Linked DNA regions of Medicago truncatula. Each later gene encodes a partner of the first gene's protein in a complex. Links are inferred from orthologs where the notes say so. Each region holds a gene or a part of one and is shown on either strand. Other genes may lie near its edges.

Region 1 (6,109 bases):
AAAATTATTGTTTAATCCAATATCATGATCCAACTGATTAACGTTGAATATGTTTATTTCTTTTTTTTTTTTTTTTGGTCAAGAGAATATGTTTATTTCTAATAAGTGAATCATTAAATTTCGTCTAAGGTTTAATCCTAAAATATATTTTTTCAATAATTTAATCCTGAAATCATCAATCTTATATAAAATTAAACAATAACAATATCGATAATCATTCAAAATTATCATATCATTACAATATTTGACTTTATTGCAATAACTTTGAAAGTAGCACATAAACTGATTTTGTTCTTAACAGAAACCGTAAGTTGTTAATACTCCATCCATTCTTTACATGAACATGTACCAAAATTAAAGAGTATTAAGAAAGGTTCAGCACAATGAAATACTCTTTTAGCACCAACGTCACATCAAAGGTGTCCAGTGTCCGACACTAACATATGTAGTTACATTTAATTACTTTTATTTTTCAAATTATTATTACTACTTTAACATGTCTGTGTCAACGTAGTGTCTACTACATGTGTGCTTCATATCTTTTTACCTTAAACTTTTTTTACTTCTAAATAAAAGATCAAAGCAGCAAATGAAATACACAACTAAGATTCAATTGTCAGAAACATGTAGTATGATACAAAAGTGAACATGTTTTGTTACACAATAACAACAAAGAGCTGAAAACTATGATTTCTTTACAAGAAATGGTTCAAGAACGCAAGACTTAGGATTCTTCATAGGAGGACCTTTTTCTCTTCTCTCAAGTTCCTCAAGCCTAAAGGTGATCAACTTATCCCAATTCCCTCCTTCAAACAGTACTCCTGCTTTACCATCAGTGATTCTTTGAACAATACCACAGTACATGTAAAAAGGATTATTTTGATTCTTCACAATAGCAATCATTCCTGGAAGTAACATAGGAAGTTCCGGTGGTTTTGGCTTCTCCGATGAAGAAAGTTTAAGGCTTTTGTTTCCTTTAACAGTTTTAGGAAGAGGGTTCTCTTCAATGAATTTTTTCAAACCTTTTTCACCTCCAGGAAATCCTCCGGTTAACCCCATTAACTCTTTATCAAACCCGTCTTCTGCAACACTTTCAAAGGATTTTGTTGAGTTACTTGTTGAGTCTTCTTGTTCTTTGTCACTTGCTTCTGATGATGTTGGCTGATTCTGATCATCAAGACCAACTTCTCTTTTAAGCTCTTTTTGAAGACCTTCTTCTCCTTTGCAGAGACCTCTGCCTCCCATGATCTGCAGCAAGTCGAATTTGGCACATGTTTGTACTGTTTTGAAGGTCGGTTTGCTGTGAAAGATGGAAGCTTTATTGCTGTGAGGATAAAGATGAGTGAGGTTCTCTTGGCCTAAGAATTTGGATCTAAGAAGAGAGCCATGAAGGCTATGAAGAGCAACAAAGGAAGACATTTTTAATTAACTGTTCAGAAAATTGGCTGAAAACAACATTAGAGAGAGGAGAAAGAGGGATGGATAGCATAGTTTCAGAATCTAATCCTGGCCACAAAATTATTGGATAGGCCTATCTTTTTATGAAATGAAAAACTATCAGAAAATCTTCTTCCAATTTAATCTTGACCACAAAGTATATTCTTTGGACCAAATTTGCCTATATGAGGAAAGAATTTTTTTGCAACATAACCTTATGATTAAATTCATTTTAGCATCAAATTAAAGTAATCCAAACACACAATTTATCATGAGAAATTATAGCAGTGAAAAGCCAAGGCAACATATTTTCAAGCCTAATGAAAAGTATGACATAATTCCCATGATAATGACACATGATGGAAAGAGTGTGTTACAATGATGACCCACTATTTCCATTCTTGGTATTTTCAAGAATTTACATAGATTTATTTTACAGCAATCTAAATGCAGTAACAACTATTGAGAGCACATGTCATTTTTAATGGTGAACAACGATACTCAAATAAACAAGGAAGCCTTATACGACAAGTTTGTTTCTGCCTCACTGTTGAGCTTCAGTTGTAAGCGTTAATTTAACACCGTCTTTAAATGAAACAGGATTAATATTTAGAGTTTGAACCAATCTAGTGATATCCATAGATATGTCAGCCGGGGACTTCACACCTCGGTCAACCTGGAAAAACAATAACGAAAACTCAAAAATGTCGCAATAAAGAACAATCAAAGACGAGCAGATAAATCATATCATGTTACCAAACTGATCAAATTGACATCAAAAGATAAATGAAAAGCTTTGAATTCCACATCACAAAATTTTAGTTATAAATGAAGCATAACACATACCGTTGAAGCAGAGACTGCTTTGATTAATGAGGTATCATACCCTCTGAATTGTGCAACAGCGTCAGCCATTTCAACGCGCGATACCCTATCAGGTCCACCGGCATTAAGTAACAACTGCATTTGCTTTCCCTCTGTGACAAGAATCAGAAATCAAATCATGAAAGCGAATTTGAGACCCCTCAAGTTTAAAGAACACATGAAAGTGAAAATGTCGTACATAATTGTAAAAGAGTTATAAGATATAAACAATTTTCATAGATAAGGATTGACCATCTCCAATAAAAGTGTTTTGAAACCTTAAAAAAGATCTAACTGAAAATCAGTTTCATTAAGAATCTCTTTTTGCAGCGTACCACATGTTTAAACAATATACACGAGTTATTTACAAAAAGTTCTGTACCTGATAACCACTGGCTTGTTAAAGCTAGTATGATAGTTACGAGATCCTTAACGAAAATTGGACAACGGAACTCGTCGTGAAAGAAATTCACCTTTTCTCTTTTAGAAAGGGCACTGTCAATCCACTGCAATAATAAGAGATTTTCTCAGTTATTTTTTTTATTGCAGACGGAAAAATGGTGAGCCAAACACTACCACCGTCTTTTAAGAATTCATCATGCAATAAGTAACAGAATTTGCAAGCATCATTCACATTTCAAGTTTCATCGATCCTAATGCTGGAAGCATTAGTTTTCAAATAAAGTATAATTCTATATACTGCACATGCACCTGAATAGGAAGAGATTTTGGAACTGGTGAGACAGTTTGTGGCCCATAGATGATACTGCTTCTCAAAATCGCAAAGTTTGGGAAGTTTTCTGAAATGAACTTCTCTGCTGCCACTTTAGTTTTTCCATAAACATTTACTGGAATAGGAATGTCTTCTTCCTTGTAAAAGGACTTCTCACCTTCGTAAACTAATGAGAAGAAACATAAATTGCAGTTTAGCTATCAAAGTGAAAATGAGCATGGTTATAGATAGCAATGCAATGTATTGATTGCGATTAGATTGGTTTACCTTGATCTGTGGAGAGATGAATGAGAAGAGTACTGTTCTGTTTAAAGCTTTGCAACCATTTTACGAGGGATGACGGCACATTAATAGCATTTGCAGTATCAGGATCATTTTCACAAGCACGAGGCACCGAGATGGCAGCACAATTGACAACCACATCAGGCTGCCATTAACAAACAAACAGAGAATTGTCAATCCAATATTAAAAGCTTAAACTCTTATTTGTAAGCAACTGGCATCTATCCAACTTATAGATGTTTGAAAATTTGTTACATAAAAGACCAAACCAAACATGCTTTATCTCTTTATTTCTGCGAGATACATGCGTTTGCGTAGCACACAAATCCATTTTCATACTGGTATAGCAAGAATAATGAGTGACTATCAAATTGAGAGGTAAAGGAGATAACAGCCTTTTTCTTATATAAACACGAACTCTGAAACTTCAAAAGCATGTAGCGTTAGATTTATATTTTTTTAATGGGTTTGTCTAACATGTGCAACATTGCACATGTTAAAGAAACTAAAAGTAGCAACTTTTTATTGAAAAACCACAAGTATTTATTAAAAAGTTATATATTTAATATAAAATGTTCAAGTTCCAATACAAACTTACTACTTTAAATTTCTTAACATGTGCAAGTTTGCAGATGATAGAAAAACCCTTTTTTAATTAAATTCAACTTCAAGTATGAATGAAAGTAAGGGCTGCTAATGGAGGAAGTGCATGTTTAGGGTGAATGGAAGATAAAATGTGTTCATTTTTAACTAGCAAATAAGAAGACATGTTCACTTTAACTTACTAATAAGAAGATGAGAAACTTTTGATTTTGAAGTTAGTCAATGTAATGAAGAGATGATATAAAAAAAAATAAAAAAAAGTAGCTAGGGTGATATGCATTTTTGGAAGTAAGAATACATGTTCAAACATTCTCCTTTCTCTTTATTAACAAGTGAAACAAAAACAACCAAGCCCGTCTAGCTCAGTTGGTAGAGCGCAAGGCTCTTAACCTTGTGGTCGTGGGTTCGAGCCCCACGGTGGGCGAATTTTGTTTTTTTGTTAAAAAAAAAGTAAAACTAACACAAATTTATGAAAAATAAAAAATATTTTTAAAAAGTAAACTGCATTGATTTTCCAACTTGTAAAAGTACTTTTGGTAAATTTAGACTAAATTGTTATCTCAAACATAGCATATACGACTTCAATTCAATCTTACATACACTAACATGTTTGGATAAACAGTTTAAGTAGGTGCTTATAGTATAATCTCTTATCACAAAAGTGATTTTGTATAAAATATTTATATAAAAAAGAAATATATTTTCATATAAGCTATAAGCTGTTTTCATAAGTTATCCTGGTTCAAGCTTATGAAAATAAGTTGAAAACAACTTCTGCACATATCATAAACTGGTAGATAAACTAAACAAACTAATCCGTATAAATCAGTAAGTCATATTACAATTTGCAATGAATCAGATCAAGCCCATTAATAAAAATCATGTTTTGTCACGACCCAATTGAATTGTAAGTTAGAAAAGTGAGAAAAGAACCTGGCCAAAAGCATTGGAAATGGCATCAAATCCAATGCCAGATTTCAAATCGACTTGGAAAGATTGAGAATCAGGAAATGCATCCAACAAAGGTTGAAGAAGAGGAGAAGAGTGATAGGTGAATGCCACTGTCAGAGATTGATTAGAATAATAAGATTGTAATAGATGCTGACCCAAGTAACCTGTGCCTCCCACAATCAATATCTTCTTCTTACTCATCACTTCTCTTCTTGTTTCTTTTTTGTTTACTTTTGATTGCTTTCACGTTGTAGTAATTGTAATGGTCAATGTTTTGTGTCTGAATTCTTTTATTATTTTTTTTTACATTTTCGTAGGATTAGGCCTATGTTTGTGGGTACATTTTCTTTTTAATCGTGTTTTTAGTCTCTACAAAATCATGAGTTTTCAAATTTAATGTTTATAAAATTTTAATGGTGATTTTAATTCTTTAAAATATTATAGTTTTTTTTTTTTGTGGTGGTCGGAGTTCGATTCCCGAACCTTACATATATAATGCATTGTTCATATCAATTCAGTTAAGTTCACGTGAACTTCAAAATATTATAGTTTGTAAGAATAGTTTTTATTTTGAAAATATTTTATATTTTTAGTTCTTTAAAATAGTCCCTATAAATAAAAATAGAAATTAAAATGAATAATTTTTTGTAATAACTCAATTTGAAAGCTTGTAATTTTGTAAGAATTAAAAACATAAATTGAACAAAGGTTTTTTTTTTTTAACAAGTCAAGAGAGAATTAAATATAACCAAACCAAATAGTAGCTTCCAAGCATAAGGTGTGTCTAGAACCTCCTAAAGTACAACAAGGAATGTTAACAACTACACGAGAACACCATCGGTGTTAGCCAATGCTCAAACAAGCTAAACAACTTGACCACCATCTCTGGCCAAATACAAACATGACATTTTTGGCTTTCAGCCATCCCAAAGATAACAATTTAACTTTATCTAACATACAAGGGACTAAGGTTACAATATTATTAAACAGTCGGTTGTTTCGTTCGTTCCAGACAACACAAGAACACATGAGCCAAATTAGCTCCAAGAACGAACGTTTAGCTTTACAAACACCTAACATATAAGTAAATTGCAACAAATGGTCGGAAATATTTTTAGTATCGACCCCCACAACGCCAATCCAAACACGAACAAGCTGCCATAACAATCCAAAAGTCGAGCATGTAAGGAAAAGGTGGTCAACCGTTTCAATCTGACCACACCCTGAGACACTGTAAGA
Region 2 (6,458 bases), on another chromosome or scaffold:
GATATTGTCTACAAATCCCAACATAAAAGTAACGAAAAATTGCTTGCACTCCAATCTCGAGAGGTTACTAAGACAGCTCACTGCATGTTGCTTAGAGAGACGATCGTTGAGTGGAGAGCAAGGAGAAGCTTTTCAACTTCAGAGAGTGCTTAGCAGTGGTAAAAGAAGCTAGTGCTATATCTCTATTGATCTTCTAACTCTGCTGTTCATATCACCCTTTTTGGTTTTGTAACAATGCCAAATGATCAAATTGATCTTCGGGTCTCATGCCGCGGAGTCCTCCCACCTATGTACATGTAGACTATCTTTTAAGGGGGTGGGTTTTGTATATGCATGTAAGTTTGTAACTTTTTAATAATCAAAACGATGGAAATTAGAAATTGAACTAGTCATGATTTCAATTTTAGCTGTAAAATATACAAGCTTCTGTTTCTGTTTTGTTGTGCTTCTGTATTCAATCTTAGCTATAAAAGAAAATTGGTCTCTTATATTCGTTTATTTACTGTTTGAAAAAATGTTTTTATATTAAAATAAAAACAATTTTTGAAGTAAAGTTGAAAACAGAAATCAAATAGGTCCTCAGGTGTTGTGAATTTTTTCCTTTACTTCTATAGCATCACATATACAAATTTACAGATATCAGTATTCTTTAAAGAAAACTACATAAGTGATACAACATATGGAAAAAATAATGATAAAAATATCAATAGTGATAGCTGAAACAGCTTGATCACTAAGCTTCATATTCTTTCCACCAAGACGATCAACCATGTCTGGAACAGGTTCATAATTCTTCAAAGCTACCTCATAAGGATCCTCTAATTTTATTTTCAATTTCTCTTGTTGGCGACTTGCAACCTCTTGAGCAAGTGTCCAATCATAGAATCTCCTACTTTCTTCATTGCTCAGAACAGTGTAAACTTCTTTTAATTTCATGAATTTTTCTGAGGCTGTTTTTAGAGGGAGTGAAGTTGTGTCTGGATGATACTCCTTTGATAGTTTCCTGAATGCCATTTTGATTGCTTCTACATCAGCTTCTGGTGATATTCCTAAGAATCTGCACAAATATTCCATTATTCAGTAACTATTGTCATTTAAATAAACAAGTTTCTCATGAAACCAAATCTCTGGCAACTCATAAGTTAGCAACTTATGCACAAGTTTTTATTTTTAAAAAGAAAAGAAATTATCATGTTCTTTAAAGAAAAACAGAATTGAATAATAGTATCTTGACTAAACTTGAGTTTAAATAAACTTCATTCTGGAAAATTCAGTTTACAATGCAACAAACCCTTAATTATTTTTCTCTTAACCCAAAACATGTATTGATTATGTCAAAATTAGTTGTTTTAGCCTTTTAGCGAACATTTGAACTCAAGTCGCATCCAAACTATTCAACTTTAGCTGAAACGCTTTAGTTACACTTAGTGTTCGTTTGGTTTGGCGGTGGTTTTTATAAAATCACGGTAAGTTTCCATGTTTCTACAAAACCTTGCTTTTGTAGCTTCAGGATTTTCACGTCTAGCTTGCCTCGGAACATGATATTTGTCTTGCAAAAGCTAATCCAAACACATACTTATACTAACTTCTAGTTTAAAATTGAATTTCAAGGCAAAATTTTGGTGTTTTATACTTTTTGTAGGAAACAGTTATAAAGAAACTCACTCATAATGAGAACCTTGAAAATTGAGCAAATCAGCAAAGTCTTCACCCAAAAGCTTCTTAGGTTTCTCCTCTGCATTTGTTTGTTGCTGTTTGGTGCTACCTCCAATCCAACCTTCATCATCATTCTCCCAATGGATTCTTGTGTCAATTCCAGGTGGTGCTTTTTGTGGTCCTTGAGAGTCCTTAGAAGCATGAACTTGGAAACTGTAGTGAGAGTTTGAGGTTCTTGCTATCCTAAAAATTCTTATTCTTCTTATTGTTTTGGTGTTTCCTAAGATTGGATTGAATAGTAGAATTTGTGGAGAAGGTGTTGCTGTTGAAGCCATGAGGGTGGAACAAAAGAAATAGTTATGGTTAGATTTTGGAATGCTCAGGTTCAATACATGCCCCATGTTCTGTTCTGTTATTTTGTGGTTCACAATAAATTTGGGACATGGAATTTGTAATATTAATTTTAATTAAATTAAAGACGAATTATTTAACTATATTCTAATATAATTATGTGAACATATATATTTTTTTTTATTATTTACAAGAATTATTTATCAAGTGAAAAAATTAAGTAATAACCTGTTTAAATATTGACAAGTTGGTCTATAAGATCATCTCCAATGGCAGGGTCATCAACATTTAAAACTCGGTACCTATTAGGTATCTTCATTAGGGAGAAACTTTTTTGGCGTCTTATAAGACCCGGGGTTTCACTTAAGACCCTCAATCTTAAGCAGGGCCCACACTCTTTTAATATTATAAAATTAAAATATAATGATATAAAATTATTAATAATTGATTAATGCGTCTCATTTAAGAAATTTGTGTGAGATGCTGGGTTGGTTGGAGGGATTGAATACTTATTAGGTACTACTATTAAAAAATTATACTCCATCCGTTTTTAAATATAAGCAAAATTTATTTTTTAGGTTCATTCATTTAATGATGTTTGTGGTCTATATTATGAACCACATACATCATTAAATAAATGGTTAATAGTGCTTTTCACCCCTGTAATATATGTCATTTCCAGTTTTCGCCCCTATAAAAATTTTGGTTTGATTTGCACCCTCGTAAAATTTTTATTTTTCGGAAAACACCCCTAATAGGTCATTTTCATAATTTTTTTTCAAGAAATTTTGGTTTTTGAATGGCCTATTAAGGGTGTTTTCCGAAAAATAAAATTTTTATGTGGGTGCAAATCAAACCGAAAATTTTATAGGGGCGAAAACTGGAAATGACATATATTACAGGGATGAAAAACATTATTGACCCTTAAATAAATGAATCTAGAAAGTCAATTTTGTTTATATTTAAAAACGAAGGGAGTAAATAAGTGATATGTACACGTGAGACTCATTTAAGTACCAAAAAATGGGTGCCTCCATTGTTGGTGCTCTAATATATACTTTTATTTTTGGTTGACATTGAGCCTGTTTGGATAAAGAACTTATTAATTTGCAACTTATAAGTAACAGCACAAGCACTTATCTTGATAAACTATTTTTATAGCAAAAGATAAAATAACTTTAGATCATTTTTGTATATACTATAAGTTATTTTTATAAGATTTATCGGAGAACTTATGAAAAACAAGTTAAAAATAGCTTATGAAAATTGTCATAACTCATAAGTTGTTGTCATGAATTCTCCCAAACAGTTTCAATATTGAACCCAAAATACAATGAAATATTAAAGACATAAAGCATGAAATATAAGCCTATAATCGTTTGTATTATTAATATTACAAGTTATTATAATTTCTTACTGCACATATATTATGTTAAACATTAAATTCTTGCCATTAACGGTAAGTATTAATTGAAAAAAATTAATATTAGATTTTTTAAGCAATAAATTAACGCAATTTCCGATAACATAATTTCTATTAAGGCACAAGTTAACATTTCCCTTATTGAAATTCAGAATTAATCTTTATATTAGGACATAATTATTGAAATTCAGAAGAGTAATCTTTGTTGGGTATGTGAATGGATATTCACATCACATCTGTCGGGTCACTGAGGGGAGTTGGAGGACCTTTCACATCGAGACTTGAACAACCACATAAGTGAGAGAGACACACACTCTTACCAAAAACCTCAAAGTTGTTGAATTCCCTCAAAACATTACATTCCCTTAAAACATTCCCCCATCCAAATACACTCTAAGGCAATGAATATATGGATCCTCTCACTTATAAAGTGTTCAACCTCCACTATTTTATCTGATGTAGAACATATAACTCACAATTGCACACAACAACAACATCCATGTTACAAATAAGTGTTCCATATGCTTTTTAAATTGTACATCCACACTTGATGCAAGGAAAACAATTTAAACCTATAGTTTTAAATTACTATAATTTTTTATCACACATATTACAACATAATTATTGAAATTGAGAGGAGTGATCTTTGTGTATGTGAACAGACATTCACATCACAACTATATTTCAAACAGCAGTACAAATAGGAGTACCATCTGCTTCATAAAGTATACATCCAATTGATGCAAGACAACAATTACATTTTGGGTAGAGGTGTTGACCACCTGTAGAAGGGCAAGTCATGTATGCAACTGTATCATAACAAAATTGTGGGCAAATTTTTTGTGCATCAACATTTTTCAAATTCCCTCCTGAAAAAATTGCACCTGGGATCATAAAAAGAAAGTCAGATTGGTATATATATAATTTGATCAAATAATTTTTATTTTCAGAAAAAAAGGAGACTCTAATTAGCATCCTCACCAAAGTTTAATTAGGTAATTTTCATCTTAGGTATGTATTTAAGTTAGACTCTTTGTCCACGATTTATAACTCAACCTATCTTGAGCTCCCGTTTGTTATATCAAACTTAATTACTTAAACCAAACAGTTGAGTTCAAGTGTTTAAGAGTTTCACCAAAGACGAATCATTCGGGAGAATCCGTTTTTGATTTCTGAACTGAACAATTGCTTTATTTTTTTGAAGGAGCCTTAATTACTTAATAATTAGACCTTTTTATTTTTCGAAAATACTTAGCTAAACATATCATTTTTTATGCCGAGCATTTTTTTTTACGTTTAATGCACCGGTTTCTAAAAATATATTCTAAATATAATATATTTTCTTTTGAACAAGTCAAACTGAAACTATGTAACAAACAAAGGCTCTCTCATATAATGTGAGATTTAAAGAGAGATAAAAGAGTTATGAGATAGATGGAGAGGAAAATGGAACAAGACGATCTAATTCAAAACTCGAGATAAGATGAATGCCCTAATTATGTTTAGGACACATGTTAGTTTCAATGTTAAGCTAAATTCAGTTCAATATCTTTCTATATCTATAAAAAAACAAAGTATAGCATAAATTGCAAAAACAACTACTTAAAAGAAGAAGCAAAATGAAAAAAAAAAACTTTATGTTGAAGGAAGAGAGATGGTGGGTTCAAGATTTACCACAAACGAGGACAAGAAGGATAGTCTCAACCTTTAAAGCCATATTTCTTTGCAAAACTGGTGAAACTTATGTCTCATATTTATAGCATAAAAAAATATTAACGTACATAATCACGCATAGATTATTGAACTAAATCAATAAGAATATTCGCATGGAGCAAAAGTCAGATAAATCGTAAGCATCAAGGGTAGGTTTAATGAGGAAGATGCGATCAATAATAAAACATAAGATAGGAGAAATGCCAACTAATGTGATCGGAGACACTCATTAGAAAAACCTATAAAATAGACTTAATTGTAGTTATGCTGAAATTGATTCTCTTATTTTATTTTAAAATCTTGCAGTTTTGTTCTCCTTCATATAGTCTTTGACTAAAAAAATAATGACATGACATATTTTAAATGATATGCGACTCAACATGGTGGTGATATGGAATGATAAGCACATAATTATTCTAAAAAGCCATATCTGATCTCAATTTAATATCTGTTGAATTCAAATTTGTTAACAATAAAATAAGATATTCAATCCTGTCTTTTTTTTTTTTCTCTTTCTTTTACAATAATTCAATCCTCTATTATACTTTATTATATCCATTCAATTAAGAGTTTTATTTAAAAGTCCGTAAAACTTAATTAACTCAACTTACAACGTCGAAATTGTTAGGTTGAATAATTCAATATTGTATGTGTGAAGTTGATCAAGTTGTGTTTGCCATTTTGTCCGCTAACCAAGACAAAAAATTTATCCTAAGAGGTAAGGTGTGGAGAGGAGTTGTTTGAAGGACGAAGGGAGGGACGTGTGTGCTTGGTGGAGGGAGATGGTACAAATTCGTAATGGTGTAGGTCTCACGATATGGGAGGTTGGTTTAGGACAATATTAGTCCGGAGATTGGGAATGGAGATAATACATTTTTTTTTGGATGGATCAGTGGTTTGGGTGATTTATCGTAATGAGATCGATTTCATAGATTGTTTGAGTTGTCTAAGCACAAGTGGTTGTCGGTTGCAGATATGTTTTCGATAGGCTGGGGTGAGGGTGGTGATGCGTGGAAGTGGAGATGTCGGTTGTTGGTGTAGGAAGGAGGAGCTCGTAGGGAGTGTAGGATTTTACTTCAAACCGTAACTTTGCAGGTTGAACATGATGATCAATGGCTTTGGAAGTTGGATCTAGCTGTTGGTTATTCAGTTAGTGGTGAGTATCAGTTTTTTACTAGCTACGCTCCTGGTCCAACTTCATCAGTTCTGAATCTCTTTTGCCATAAACATGTCCCCTTGAAGGTGTTGGTGTTTGCGTAGTGGCTCTTACGCAATAGACTGACAACTAAAGATAATTTAATTCAGCGTGGTATTA
Region 3 (7,383 bases), on another chromosome or scaffold:
TGCTTGATGAAATAACTAGAGTATAACTTTCATGTTATCAAATGAAGGACTATGATTAATCTCTTTCCATTTTATATTACTATTACTGCAATTGTCATCTCAAGTTTTCTATCTATTCATTACCCTCATGGCCACAACTATCTTTCAGGTGAAATGAGGTATAAAACCAATGATAGCATGTGGTATAGTACTTGTTAGTTATATTGCCCTTAACTTCCATGTATTTTGTGTCTGTTTGGATTTGGTGTCTTGGTCGTCTTGGCTTTCACAATTGAAATTGGATTAGTATCATCAAGAAAGAAAGGAAAAAAAATTATATTCATTACAATTTTCTTCACCTCTTAAGTGGTGATGGTTATGTGACTTTGAAGGTAGCAGTGAGTGAGACAGTTTAGTGCCTTGTTATATAATCTGTTTGGCAAGGCCTATTCATGAGCATATATCAGATATCTTAAATAGGGTATAAGTTCATTTCTTTAAAATAGATCTGTTTGGCACAAAAAATTTCTCATGATTTTATAGCGTTTTTTTATAAACTAAAAACTTTTTGATGGCAACCTACATCCTTCTGTAATTCTCAGTGATTTATAAAGTTTATCATATTCACATGCAATGTATGTGTCAAAGTGGATGGCCTCTGTATGCAATACAGAAACTGAGCTTTTGTATTTGTATGATATAGATGAAGATGATATCATTCACTTGCAAAAATTTACATATATTTCAATCTTGACGTGTAAGGAAAAATTGGAACATGTCTTGCATTGTCATGTAACATTTCAGATGTCAAGGAGCCTAAAGGAGTCTGCTACCACTTTAAGCTGATCTCGTACTTTTTTCCATCGTCTTTCATTGGCTCCCACAATTAATGTGTAGTATCTTCCTGTACAGAATGAATGTTATTACTTATTAGTTTACATAAGGAGCCTTTGATTGCATTGAAAACTCATGCAGTTGAACTTCTGTATATTAACAGTATAATCTGTTTTTATGACACTGAAGTCGTGTAATTTCGAAGAAATTGGCTTCATTTGAATAATTAGTCTTCTCAATGTTGTCTCTCTATCTGGGTTGCACATTCTTTGTTAATTTTCTACCTGTGTCACTTATAATCATTTTTCTATATGAAGATTCTTGTTGTATTATCTAACAGGACAGAGAAGTATATATTGAGTTAGCTTTTCTTTGAGAGAACATTTATTGGATATCACACTGAGATTTGAGATGGTAGACTACTTACCATTTCCTATGGCAAGTGTTGTAAAGGAGGCACTAGCGTAATTTCGTGATGTAAGTACATATTCCATTGTATAATAATGTTTTCCATCTATCGTCCGCTGCATTCAGAATTCAGAAATGATTGTTTGTCAATATGCATTGGCCATCAAAACCTACAATATTCTTTTGAAAAAAACAAATTGGAGAAGAAATGAAATGAGAAACCTCTTGCATGTCATATATTGTTGGTCTTTGGTTTGGTGCAGTATATCTATGTTTCACCAAATCAGTTATAACCTGATTAAGACGCAAACTGGCTAAGTGTATAACTATAAATTAGACTCCATAACATTAAGACAGAATCTAAATCATAATCACCTCTTCCATTGGACCCAAATCTCTGATATCTTTCTTCTCAGTTGGTATGAATCTCACCCTTACATTTTGTAACTGTAAATATCTGTCTTTGAATGCAGAATCGTGTGCCCTGAAGTCAAATTCCTAGGGAAAAGATCACCCAGACAAGTGACAAACTTGTAGAAAATTATTTGGTTGTTGAAACTAATTCCTCTGTCTTATCTTAAGTTTTGATCAACATTACACAAACACTTACAAAGATCATTGAGTGTACTAATTCATGTGATAAAATCAACGCAATATACTGAAGCACCCTTATTAATATAGTTACGCGAATATATAACTAAGCTGAGATACAATAAATAAATGTATATTTGTGAAAAAACTTAATCAATGCTTCATTGATATTTTAAAATGAGAGATGATGAGGTGGACAAATATTTCAAATGTGATAGTTAATATGAAAACAACGGAATAACATTTTGTGAACCAATATGATGAATTTTACCTTCCAATCTGAGGGATAAATGTAAGAATATCCATCTTCATAGTCGACAAAAGATCGGTATCTGTCTGGTATTTCTACAAAATAAGGACTAATTGAATTTCAAAATTTCAGAAGATTGTGACTCCTCTTTACATATCCAAACAAAGATGTTATTATGAATACCTTCAGCTAAGAGTGAATTTGCTGGTAGCAAATTTGCTGTTAATGCTCCTATACCCAACAGAAGTGGTCTTCTCTGGCAGTGTCCTAATAATAAATAAAAAGAAAACTCAGATCAAGCTTTGATAAAGGTAGATTACTTCTGATAAGTGTTGATTCTTGATTAGCACAAACACTGACATGCTCATTGTAAAGTCAATGTAAACTTGATAGTAGTTATTTTAAGCACAGATTAAGCTCTTACTTTCTGTACTGGAAGTTGTTTCCATTGCACAAGAGACATTGTTAGAAGATGAAGTTGTAGTATTCCGAAGCAAATGATTTGAATGTGGCAAGTTTAGCTGAAACAGTTCACATGAGCTGTTTATGTATAAAGAACATAGTGTGAATGCAATGAAGAAAACAAAATATATCATGAACACACCTTATGGGATAAGTAGGATGAAGTCCAGGTTAAAGAGCAAGAAGAAACTACCATAGTGGTGAAGAAGAGTGGTATAGAGCTTCAGTTTTGAGATGGAAAGAAATACTGAGTGGATAGTAAGTAGAATTTAGACCTTGTGATGTGGCTAGGAGTTTGTGGTCATGTGACAAGAATGAAACTTGTTATTTTTTTTTTTTTTTTTCATTTAATTGGATAATGTCTCTTCTCAACTATTATTTTATCTTAATTATTTGAAAAATCTTTCCTATACCCCCTCAGCTGGATCTTCTATACGCACAAAACATATAATATCCACATTTTGTTCTTAATTTTTTTTTTTTATGTATTTATACTTATAAAATTCAAATTTTAAATTTCCAGATTGTATTAGTTATTTGTTAAAAAATATTTCAGAAAAACAAAAAATATTTGTGTTTCTTTATCAGATTTTTTTGAGTTTTTCAGAAACTATATGTTAAAAAAAAACTTAAAATTTGATATTATTATTTTTTATTATTTTTTAAAAAATAATAATATTTTTCTAATTATTTTTCATTCCAAAGTTTCTGGTTATAGAGTTGGAAGGAAGGGAGTTTTTTTCACCGAGTGATTTTTTTTTAGTGGTCGAGAAATTTAAAGTGACGGGTTCAAAGGTATGTATATTTACCTCTCTGCAAAAGTATTAATGAGACTCGAATCCAAGAGGGTCTGTCTTTTTACCACTGAACTAGACCTTTGGAGTTGCCTGCACCGAACGAATTTTGCAAAGAAAAATCCTCCAAAATCCATTAGTAAATATTGTGCACTTAGTATTTGTGAGAAACAACTTGGAAGGAAGGGAATATACTATTACTATGTAGTTGGGTAAGGAGGATACCAAAATTTGTGAACTAAATGAATTTGTGCAATTTGTGTCAATTATTTGTCAAGTTTCATTGTTGATTTCAATGACATCATGGCCGGTCAATTTATAAAGATAAATTGTTGCAATGGTGAATACATGAAGTTAACTATCTAAATTCTCAACCCTTTGATCTTACCATGCAGTTACATCACAGCCACAAAACAAGAGCCAAAAATAGTAATCATGTGACAAACTCTTAGGCTGTATAAACTGATTCTACATGGTCTTTACCCTTAAACAATTGAATGAGACCGTTTCTTTAGCCGTTAATACTTACCTTTGTTGTTTAAACACCAAATGATTAGCTCTCACACTTTATTTTCACTCTTAGAAAAATTAATAAAATTAACAAAAACACATTTCTTCTGTTTCTGTATGTTAAGGTTGATTTAATTAATTAATGGCAATCTACAGAATAGCAATTGGGTCTCCTAGAGAGGCTAGCAATCCTGCTGCAATTAGAGCAGCCTTTGCAGAGTTCTTCTCTATGCTCATTTTTGTTTTTGCTGGCCAAGGCTCTGGCATGGCCTATAGTGAGTAATATAGATAACTTTTTGAAGAGTATTACATATTATTACATATACATTTTTTAACATTATCTTTTTTATACTCGTTCAATTATTGATTGATATTAGAAATAGATCTTAAATGAAGTGGTGAGATGTACGATAATTTCACTCAATAAAAAGATAGAGCGTTGAAAACGAATTATTAGTTAGTTTATTGTAAGCAATAAGTGTTTTAGAAACTTATTTTGTGACATTAGAAGATAATTATTTTTCAATGCCTTAGAATTGTTGAGAATTTGAAGATATATAGCTTGTTGGCTATTGTGGCAGATAAACTTACAAACAATGGAGCTGCCACTCCTGAAGGTCTCATAGTTGCATCATTATCTCATGCATTTGGGTTATTTGTGGCTGTTTCTGTTGGTGCAAACATTTCTGGTGGACATGTGAACCCTGCAGTCACATTTGGTGCTTTCATTGGAGGAAACATTACCTTCTTGAGAAGTATTTTGTATTGGATTGCACAGTTACTTGGTGCAGTTGTTGCTTGCATTCTTCTCAATTCATGCACTGCTGGAATGGTAACTAAATGAATCTACTACACATGCATTTCCTTCACCTAATTTAAAATATAGGCTCAAATGCACTTTTTAGTTTAATTTTGTTGATGTGTTCTCTTGTTAATACATTTGATGACGTGGCAATGTTGAATTGGATAATAACATATTAAGATTTAATTTAAATCACCATCACCATATCATGAAATGTATTTCCATGTCGTTAATGAAAGATGACATATAAGAAAAATTAAGCTCAAAATCAGGTAGTTGAGAAAAATTCAAAAACTTGTGAAGTGAACTAAATTTTGAGATTTAGAACGAGTGGACTAAAATCTTAATTCAATAATAATTAGAAGATCAAAAGTGGATTTTAACTATAAAACAGAAATTGAACACTAGTTGAATTTGAGATATCAGTGCTACATTTAGATTTTATATATATATATATATATATATATGCAGGAAACATCAGGTTTTGCTCTATCCTCTGGTGTGTCTGTGTGGAATGCATTAGTTTTTGAGATTGTGATGACATTTGGATTAGTATATACAGTTTATGCAACAGCAATAGACCCAAAGAGAGGGAATGTTGGTGTTGTAGCACCATTAGCAATTGGTTGTATTGTGGGTGCAAATATCTTGGTTGGTGGTGTTTTTGATGGTGCATCAATGAACCCAGCTGTGTCTTTCGGGCCTGCTGTTGTTAGTGGAACATGGACTCATCATTGGGTCTATTGGGTTGGCCCATTCATTGGTTCAGCTACTGCTGCCATTCTCTATAATAATATCTTCATTGCTGATCACGTTCATGAACCCCTTTCAAATAGTGACTTCTAGAATTTTTATTATTTTTTCTTCTTCTTTATTTCATGTATTCTGGTCCCTCTACATATTATTGAGGGATCAATAATACTGCAGTAGAATCTTTAGGGAGTATTCAATATTTTTATTGCCTAGAAGTGATTACCAATATTTGTTCATTACATTATAGTGCCAAAATGGATAAATGTTGGTTACTGATAGTATTTTAATTTTAATAAGCTGAAAGAGAAAGGTAAAAAAAAAAATGAATTTGTTCATTCTTGTCTAATCTAACCTAAATTTAATAATGATTGAAAATAAATTATAGCATTGGACATGCATTTTGGAGGCATGTTTTCATGATATGCACTGTGACCTGACCATATGGCACAAGATGATTAATTAATAATGCTAAACTAGTCCGACTTGAGAGGTTTCTTGATGACCAAGTCAAGAGGATCATCTTCCACCAAAAACAAAAATCCAAGAGGAAATGATCAATATAATATCATCATTCAAAAAGACCAACAAGAAAAACGCCATCAGATTCGGTTCTACAAAATCTGTGCATATTTTTATGTAGATTTATTTCGATCATTTTAAAAGACATGCTATATAATAGAATGCTATCTGTGCTCGTGATTTTCGGGTATCAAGCCATTGATTGGTTTTGAACCTTCAATCTTTGAACTCTCGATTTTTATTCGTGGGAGGGAAAAAATGAGTAAAAACCTTTAAGACCTGGATTCGGGGGTTGGTTACGCAAAGGGAAGGTGCTAGCACCCTAAGCGTCTATGATATTCCATAGGAACCTCTTACCTAGATTATCTTGTGCTAAATTCATTTGCTTATTTGAAAAATTATTACCTAAAAATCTAAGTGAAAGAATGGAGGGAGAAGAAATATGTTTTTGGTTATTTTTATTTGATTTGGAAGGACATGGTCCTCTGCCTACGTACCCATGAGGGATTAAAACCTCGTAGTTCGGGGTAGAAATTGACGTTTGATCGGTTTTGTGTTTTTTTATTAGTTTTGAAAAAGGTTTTAAAATGAAAAGTCAAGTGGCAAATAAGAATCTGTTTGTGTTTTTTAATTTAAAAGAAAATGGACTTGAAGTAGAATTAAGTTGATTGAAATTTGATTAAAAAAATAAAATAAAAAGACGGTCACTTGATTTAAGATCAAGATTTATTGTAAAAAAATATTTTTGGTGGTTTTTGTTATTTGGATGTTTTTGTTATTTTGAATGATAAATAAAACCTAAAGCTAAAGCATGAGAATTTTGTAGTGAGGTTGGATCACCACAAAATCTCTTAACATAATCTAATTTTTTTTTCATTTTTTATAACTTAAGAGCAAAATAAAATAAAAAATAAATACCTTGAAACCGAAAAGGACAGAAAGGAGTAGAAAAAGAAGAAAGACTCGTCAAGACAAGTCGAAGAAGGGAGAAGAGAGGAAAAACACAGGAATCATCAACTGTGTTTTCGGTGTGTTGAATGCATTGTATGAGCCCTCTATTTATAGAGAAACTTCACAACTAATAGGTGAGAAACTTTGGGAACAAGTAATTCATCTAGTACAAAAATATGCCAATTGTCTACCAAAATATATTGAGTACAAAAATATATTATTCAGTACATAAATATGTTATTTAGTACATAAATATATATTATTGAGTATCAAAATATATTTCAGATCAAGCACTAAAATATATTAGATTGTCTACCAAAATATATCATATTGAGTACAAAAATATATTATTCAGTACATAAATATGTTATTCAGTACATAAATATATATTATTGAGTATCAAAATATATTTCAGATCAAGCACTAAAATATATTAGATTTTCTACCAAAATATTTTAGATTGTGTTCCAAAATATTCTAGATTGCGTTCTAAAATAATTTAGCAAAACTTGGGGACCAAGAAAACACTT

Evidence for each region. The genes of interacting proteins can lie anywhere in the genome.
Region 2: NAD(P)H-quinone oxidoreductase subunit S, chloroplastic (region 1) and NAD(P)H-quinone oxidoreductase subunit T, chloroplastic share a complex: the UniProt entries of both Arabidopsis thaliana proteins name them as parts of the chloroplast NDH complex. The link is inferred for Medicago truncatula from reciprocal best matches to the Arabidopsis thaliana genes NdhS and NdhT.
Region 3: NAD(P)H-quinone oxidoreductase subunit S, chloroplastic (region 1) and photosynthetic NDH subunit of lumenal location 1, chloroplastic share a complex: the UniProt entries of both Arabidopsis thaliana proteins name them as parts of the chloroplast NDH complex. The link is inferred for Medicago truncatula from reciprocal best matches to the Arabidopsis thaliana genes NdhS and PnsL1.

What each region holds. Positions count from the first base shown.
Region 1 is NC_053049.1:12,186,474-12,192,582, forward strand, and holds NAD(P)H-quinone oxidoreductase subunit S, chloroplastic, read right to left. Parts: upstream 1,667-6,109; 5' UTR 1,420-1,666; coding exon 685-1,419; 3' UTR 591-684; downstream 1-590. Other genes in the region: methionine adenosyltransferase 2 subunit beta, read right to left, coding at 1,982-2,113, 2,284-2,414, 2,684-2,807, 3,013-3,200, 3,302-3,461, 4,853-5,071. UniProt on the Arabidopsis thaliana protein: NDH shuttles electrons from NAD(P)H:plastoquinone, via FMN and iron-sulfur (Fe-S) centers, to quinones in the photosynthetic chain and possibly in a chloroplast respiratory chain.
Region 2 is NC_053045.1:11,829,669-11,836,126, forward strand, and holds NAD(P)H-quinone oxidoreductase subunit T, chloroplastic, read right to left. Parts: upstream 2,071-6,458; 5' UTR 2,058-2,070; coding exon 1,666-2,057; intron 1,058-1,665; coding exon 640-1,057; 3' UTR 585-639; downstream 1-584. Other genes in the region: ran-binding protein M homolog, read left to right, coding at 1-172. UniProt on the Arabidopsis thaliana protein: NDH shuttles electrons from NAD(P)H:plastoquinone, via FMN and iron-sulfur (Fe-S) centers, to quinones in the photosynthetic chain and possibly in a chloroplast respiratory chain.
Region 3 is NC_053042.1:55,806,969-55,814,351, reverse strand, and holds photosynthetic NDH subunit of lumenal location 1, chloroplastic, read right to left. Parts: upstream 2,849-7,383; 5' UTR 2,721-2,848; coding exon 2,667-2,720; intron 2,584-2,666; coding exon 2,487-2,583; intron 2,330-2,486; coding exon 2,246-2,329; intron 2,158-2,245; coding exon 2,084-2,157; intron 1,720-2,083; coding exon 1,597-1,719; intron 1,516-1,596; coding exon 1,444-1,515; intron 1,338-1,443; coding exon 1,241-1,337; intron 884-1,240; coding exon 780-883; 3' UTR 585-779; downstream 1-584. Other genes in the region: aquaporin TIP1-3, read left to right, coding at 3,971-4,103, 4,410-4,660, 5,102-5,476. UniProt on the Arabidopsis thaliana protein: NDH shuttles electrons from NAD(P)H:plastoquinone, via FMN and iron-sulfur (Fe-S) centers, to quinones in the photosynthetic chain and possibly in a chloroplast respiratory chain.